2 linked regions of the Arabidopsis thaliana genome follow. The protein of the gene in region 2 interacts with the protein of the main gene of each other region in a pairwise test. Each region holds a gene or a part of one and is shown on either strand. Other genes may lie near its edges. The genes, in order: LUL1 and GDU5.

The links.
Region 1: the proteins of GDU5 (region 2) and LUL1 interact in a two-hybrid assay, tested with the Arabidopsis thaliana proteins (one study listed by BioGRID).

What each region holds. Positions count from the first base shown.
Region 1 is NC_003076.8:759,697-763,598, reverse strand, and holds LUL1 (RING/U-box superfamily protein), read left to right. Parts: upstream 1-1,758; 5' UTR 1,759-1,931; coding exon 1,932-2,374; intron 2,375-2,491; coding exon 2,492-2,957; intron 2,958-3,044; coding exon 3,045-3,149; 3' UTR 3,150-3,280; downstream 3,281-3,902. Other genes in the region: DIP2 (E3 ubiquitin-protein ligase), read left to right, coding at 260-529; AT5G03204 (uncharacterized protein), read left to right, coding at 1,202-1,312; CPUORF47 (peptide upstream protein), read right to left, coding at 3,451-3,902. UniProt on the Arabidopsis thaliana protein: Acts as an E3 ubiquitin-protein ligase, or as part of E3 complex, which accepts ubiquitin from specific E2 ubiquitin-conjugating enzymes and then transfers it to substrates (in vitro).
Region 2 is NC_003076.8:8,582,435-8,586,027, reverse strand, and holds GDU5 (glutamine dumper 5), read right to left. Parts: upstream 1,494-3,593; 5' UTR 1,364-1,493; coding exon 968-1,363; 3' UTR 731-967; downstream 1-730. UniProt on the Arabidopsis thaliana protein: Probable subunit of an amino acid transporter involved in the regulation of the amino acid metabolism. Stimulates amino acid export by activating nonselective amino acid facilitators.

The sequences.
Region 1 (3,902 bases), 7.8 Mb from region 2:
CAACAACAAAAAAAAATCTTAGCGGAGATATAGACGTGTGAGACAAGAGCTCACACGTGTTGCACATTCGAGACTTGTTGATAATGACGACAACAAGAGGTTCTAGAATATTCGTGTTGGTTTCATTATTATTAGCAAATAAGACCAAGTCAACAAACTAACTTAAACATTGTGGATCGTCCACTTGTCCGACTCTTACGTCAAACCCATCATTGTTCCACATATCTCCACGCGTCAATCTCTCTATAAATACGAACAAATGAACACGTATCAATTCAACTCAAAAAGTAACAATTTGAATTACTTCCGCAAATCTAAAATAATATCTAGTGAAGCGAATATGTGTTTCTTTGATAATCGGTGCGATCAGAATCTGACGGTGGTGGTGGATGTGGCGTGGTGGATGGAGGCTGTTCCTCCACAAATCATTTCTCCGGCGAAGCCATCGGTTTCTCCGATTCTTGAGACGATTTTAGAAGGCGGAGAGACCGAAGAAGACAATCAAGAACAAGAAAACGAGGACGTGTAAATTGTAATGATCATTTTGTTACTCGGTCTTGGGTTTAAGATAGACTCTTGTTGTTGTTGTTGTTTTTTCTATAACTGTATAAGATGAGATTTTGTATTGTATCTTTTGTACAATCAAATCTCAGTTCTTTGTGAAATTTTCATTCAACTTTCACATCTTGTACGCTCGGTGATCTGTTGTTATATGCTCACGAGTTGGTAATTAAAGACAAATCTTAATATACTTTCTAACCGAACCGGGACGATAACCGGTCCACGACAAAAAATCAGTATCTTCAAATATCAAACCAAACTTAAACCTGAAACCAGTCTCACCGCTATTTCTGTTTGGTGCGATCATTTTCTCAACCAAAAGAATCTAATTTACATTAATTTTTAATAAAGACATGTATGATTTATCTGCAAACTAAAGCAGTGTACGCATACTTATGTTTCAACTTTCGAGCATCACCTAAATATGAAACATAAATATCACGTGCGATAAGTATTAAGCTGCGTCCTATAAAAAAGTATACAAATATATAAAGATCACTTGATGATTAGTTAATTACACTACTACTATTCCTCTCTATCTCTATAAATATCAGCAATAACAATAATTTCCACATAGATCTTCTCAACACAGTCGAAAGCTGCCGAAGTCTAAATCGAAGAAAGAGTATATTTACAAATCATGGCTAGGATGATCGGACCATTCGAAACTGTACCGGCGATTCTTGTTTATCCGATGAGGGTTTCAGCTTCGCCTTCGCTGGGGACAATTTATGAGGAACACGATGAGTAAAATTTTAACAAGACAAGATCAAAACTCGAGTGTTTAATTATTTTTTAATCCATTTTAATGAAATATTCATTTTGAAATATATCTTGATAGTGCTTTCTATTTCTTGGTTGATTTCCACTTTAAACTCTTTTTTATCGACGTTATTATGATCTCCTATATAATCAGACATAAGAGAAGATGTTTCTTAATGACGATCAGTGCAAGATGTTTCTTAATGACGAGCAGTGCTTCTTGTAATCGCCGGTATTAATGGATGTGTTTCTTTGTTTTCCGATCAACCTCCAAAACCAATCTCGTGTCTCCGGTTTTGTCATTTCGTTTCTTCTTATTTTGTAACCGTGATATTGTTGTGAGGCCTTGGGCCTATTGCCTGCCTAGTGCTACTGATAATGATTTCTTTGTTTTATGTGATTAAAAGTAATAATCAATTTCCCATGGTAATTAATCAAGTTTAATACTAATTTATAATATATACAAATAAACGTTTTGGTGTTTCTTCGTCGACGTCGCTATCTCCAATCTCATTACTCCCCTTTCTCAATGATCATAAAACCTACTTCGATTCTACTCCTTATCAACTGAATCACCGAAAAACCTCACCTTTTTTCTTTTTCCGATCATGGGGAATCTGATCAGTTTGATCTTCTGCTGCGGGAGAAGGCAGAGGAGCAATATTCCTCCGGCGATGGAAACGGCTCCTCTTGAACTCCCACCGAACAGATTTGTATTCGCCGCCGTGCCACCATATCTGAACCCTAACCCTAACTACGTTGACCAGTATCCAGGTAACTGCCTTCCTCCGCCAGTAACTGAGCCGCCGATGCTACCGTACAATTTCAACCATTTGCATCACTATCCTCCCAACAGTTACCAACTACCTCATCCTTTGTTTCACGGCGGTAGATACCCTATACTGCCGCCTCCTACGTACGTCCACCAGAAAGCCGTCACGATTCGTAACGATGTTAATCTGAAGAAGAAGACTTTAACGCTCATACCCGACCCGGAGAATCCGAATCGACTTCTTGTCTCCTTCACATTTGATGCATCCATGCCCGGAAGGTTTTACTTTCAAACTATGAAATGATCAAATTTAGTTAAAAGTTTGAATCTTGTTTGAATCAATCAATGGAGTAATATAAATGACTTAGCTTTTGTTGTTTTGGTTGGCGAGAACAGGATCACAGTTGTTTTCTTTGCTACAGAAGATGCAGAATGTAATCTTAGAGCTACAAAGGAAGATACTTTGCCTCCAATCACTTTTGATTTCGGAGAAGGACTTGGTCAGAAGTTCATACAATCATCTGGAACGGGTATAGACTTGACGGCGTTTAAAGATTCCGAGCTATTCAAGGAGGTGGATACAGATGTCTTCCCGTTGGCGGTTAAGGCGGAGGCAACTCCAGCGGAAGAAGGAAAGTCTGGTTCCACCAATGTGCAGATTACTCAAGTGGTGTATACCAAGGAGAAAGGAGAGATTAAAATAGAAGTGGTGAAGCAGATACTATGGGTGAATAAGAGGAGGTATGAGCTGCTTGAGATTTATGGGATTGAGAACACGGTTGATGGTTCCGATGAGGGAAAGGAATGTGTTGTATGCTTGTCTGAACCACGCGATACAACTGTTCTTCCTTGCAGACACATGGTATAGTGTTCATCATACTTAAAATTAGCTCATATAAAAAAAAAATTGAACTTCTTTTGAAATGGTTTGTGTATTTCTGTTTGGCAGTGTATGTGTAGCGGGTGCGCAAAGGCGTTAAGGTTTCAGACAAATCTGTGCCCAGTTTGCAGACAACCTGTTGAGATGCTTTTGGAGATTAACAAGAACGGATGAAATGGAGATGGAGAATGAACAAATTTAGTTAAGCAATCGACTTGTGTAATATATGCCATGCTTAATTAAGACGTAAAACGTTATGGTTCAATATATTATAAGTGGAAACTGAGTTCTTAAATAGCAATGATAAACAGATAGGCAGCTTCTTATTTAGTTATAGGTGCTTGGCCAGGAGCTGTGGTGGCCGAGGACCAACTATGGCAAACACAGAAGGTGATGGCATTACAACTGAGACAAAGACAGACACGAATCGACGTAGATAAGACTAAGGCGAAGCGAGATTGAGTTTTACATTGGTTTAGTCTTCCCACCATTGATGAACAAACACACCTCTGGCTCTCAGAGTTTGAAGCATGTTGATGCAGTCTGACTTGTGGTTGGAACAGCGGAGGAAAAGCTCATCCACGTAGCATATGACTCCTGTTTCCAGTAAAACAGTTAGGAACTTCATTTCCACTTGGTTTGTGTTCATCTTAAGGACTACAAAGTCTGCGTATTTCGCAGTTTCCTCAAACCAAGCAAGGAAATCGAATCTCTCATCTTCTGGAAATGGTTCTAGCTGTTCAAGCGGAGTTATCTTTTTCCCTGTCGAGTTGTTCTCAGCCAAATCCGGATGGTAAACAAAGGTGACGCCGGGTTTCTTGACATAGGATAGCATTACTGAAGTGTTGTGGTCGACAAAGTAGACATTGAATGCTTTGCTGTCGAGTGGGTATAACGGAAAGAACCAGTTTGGAGTTAAATTAGCAT
Region 2 (3,593 bases):
TTCGCCCAGATTTAAAGGGAGCATCGAGTGGAGAAGCTTAAGAGATGGTCGTCCATACCGCTTCACCAACCACAACTTAGACAGTTGGCATAGGACCGATGCATATATAGACCAAAGAACTCTGATTATGAGAACAGATACTCTGCAGAAAAACCAAAAGATCCCAGCCAAATAAAGAAAAAAACAAACCTAAAAACTTAAGCCGAACCAACGTCGTGGCTTTGGAAGTCCACGAACGTTAGTCGGAGCCACAATTTTGTCGAAAAAAATGACCAGGAGAAAAAGAGCTGGTATAGAGAGAAAACTTTTCGGAAAAAAAGCTCTCCGATAAAATAACATTCTAATTTTATAAAAAATGACTAAAATTATGTAACTTTTACAAAATAAACTAAAAATCAACTTCCATTTGTTTACATATTTCCCATCACACAATATTTTTTTTTGTTTTTTTTGTTTGCTAACTTGGGTCATTTTGATTTATTTTGGACCCAATAAAAATCAAGTGTTTTGACCAGTAAAGATGTCTTCAGTAGTCACGTAGACACAGTGATGGCTCACACGTTCAGAACGGAAATCACTCCCCTGGTCTTGGCCAAATATATGCTCCTCTAACTTAGAGTGCTAACCACTCGGCCATGAAAATGTAGCTAAACTTCTTAGTTTTACAAGTAAATCTTTAAGCTATAGCAGGATATAGATATACTCTCAAAACTAATTTGGAAATATTAATGATCAAAACAATGACACATTGATACCTTTAATTTAGCAAAATATATTCATATACCAACATTTATACATAGAAACCCGAAATTTCTCAACTTTTTTGTTCACATTTACTACTCTAATGAAAATTTACAATCTCAAGGTCGACAAAAACAGAGGAAAACTACTTCCCCAACAAACAAAAAACAAACCGACAAAAACAGAGAATCCAAAAAAGTACACTCTTGAGAACAGAGCTCAGTAGTCAGTGGTTTTCTTCTGTTACTTTAGATTCCCCATTTTGTCCTTCTTTCTTCTCCATATTAACACAATCCAGGCAAATCTTGGCCGCGACCGGAGTGGCTAAGAAGGTAGGGTTGTTTTGTCCAGCCATGATCACAAGAATCTTCTCCTCAAAAGCCTTAGCCACCACTTTCTCACCGGACTCCGTCTGTTTCTCTTCATCTTCTGTCTGCCGCGAGAGCCTCCAGTAGGAGCAGGCGAGCAACAAGAGAGCAAAGGCTATGAGTCCAAGCATGGCGGCTAAACCACCGAATAGGTAAGGAACCGGTGTACGCCACGGAGACCGTGTCTGAGACTCCACCATTGTTGTCATCATCTTCTCATTTATGTTTCCTCTTATGCTTGGAAATTGCCTCATTGTTTTATATTTCTTATTCTTGGATTTGTTAAAGAACAGAGGAGAAGAAGCTTGAAAATTGTGAAGCTTATACTTTTTTTTTATAACTGTGTAGCTAGTTTGATTTTGTTGGAGTGGTTTGACATTTTATTTATAGTACTGGAAGAGAACAATAGAGGGAAGAGATGTAATAAATATTTCACAATATTATTATAAAACAAAATTGAAGGTAAGTGGGTCACGGAATCTTCATGATACGTTACGTTGCTTTGATCATGCACCAGGTTCGAAGATATTTAATCATACGTTTTTGCATTTAGATATATACCTTGATTTTTTTGTTTATAAAATCCTTTTTGGATAATCAAACTTTAAGATCTCAATTCCGTAATCCCTTTTTTTATTTGTTAAAGACAGTTCCATAATCTCCTCGTGTCAGAAATTATAACAAAAAAAAATATGAGGTAGATATTTGAAAATGTGATCCCTTTTTTGTTCAACTTAATATGTGATCTTACCATGTTATTTATGGCAATGAATTTGTGATTTTTTGGATAAAGAAATCATTTATGAAGATGACATTTGTTGACAAAAGACAACTACAAAAATAGATAAATTATCATGTTTATTTAGAAAATTATTTATTAGTAGAATTGACTGATCTCTTGAATTCCATTGCGTCTTGAAAAACAAGCAATATTGTTTTACTTATTCGTTGTAGATTTGTTTCATATATACATGATCGATCAGCTGAAAGAGTGGCCAACTATACATCTTAATTGATCAATTTAGAGCTTCAAAATCTAGTTTTTTGGAGTTTAAGGTAGTCTACAAGCCCCATATACGAGTAATTTTAAGCTGATTTCTTATAAGTGATATAACAGTTAAAACCATTACACTAAAGTATGAGATAATTTCCACATGATGATTTTGTAAATTGTGGATGCATATATATTTAGTGGAGGTTATGCATATTGTAAGTAGAGTAGTTTGTTTATGTTTTATGAGTGAAGATGATTTATATATGTTCTTGGTGTTATAAATGATTATAAATTTAGGTTTTGAATGATTGCAATAAAAAAAAGCAGAGAAATGTTTTCTATTTTTGGAACGGACAATAAACTGATGTAAATCAAGCTTTTTTTCTACGTAAAAACAATCTATAGTTAGTTTGCCGCATACTTGTTCTATTTTTTACACGACAACAAATTATAGTTCATAAATACTAAAGAAAAGTAGTATAAACCGGAAATGAATTGGAAATGAATTGGTTCGTCCTAACTGGCGCAACTATTCGAACCCTTATAATTTTATCGACATCATATTTGGGAGAGACAAACAGAAAACATAATTATATGATTATTTGGATTTAGGAATATTAAGAGGGCCCAGCTTTGTGTTTTATTCGGGCCCATGAATTTCACATGGCCATTTGTTATTACGCTAAGCCAGGGATATGTGTCTTTTCGATGGTGCTATTTGGATAATGATGTTTGCCGTTAACAGTAAATTATATATGGGTTTACTTTTTAATATTCCACAACAACAATCCATAGATTTTATTTGTATCCATAGTTGGAAGAGAATATATTTCATTTTTTAATCATGTCGATTGCCAAAATTGTTAGATTAATATTTGAACATTAATATAAACCATATATCTACAATCTCTAAATGAATAAACTATGTCTAGTGAACCATAAGATGGATTAGCTCTTATTCTTGGATTATGTTATTTTTCTTACTCACTTATGAGTTATGAGTAATGTTTTTATTCATATGTGTTGTAATATCCGAAATTTGAGAGTTTACTTCATAAATTATCGAAAGAATTCTGATTATATTGAACTCTGTTTTTCATACGTACATCTCCTTTCTGATGAGGTTTTTTTTTTGGTAAAGCTTTCATGTTGATTTTAAATATAATTTCAATTGAAACTTAAATTTGATCTTTTTATATTAATATAGCCACATACTGACATACATAATTTTAGATACAACTCACAAATCAATAAATATTAGTCGTGAGTACTTGTTAACGATCGAAAACTTCAACTGATGGAGGAAAGGTAAGTTTTAATTTTTAAGCTGAGTACATTAAAGCATTATTTGAGTTGTGTGACAATACATGAATGAGATTATGAGAATATATTGATGGAGTTGGAGGAGACATGACAACTTGAAAAGAGAATTATGGGTTGTTCTTTATCAAAAATATAAATTTATGCATTGTCAACTTGTGGATATTTCT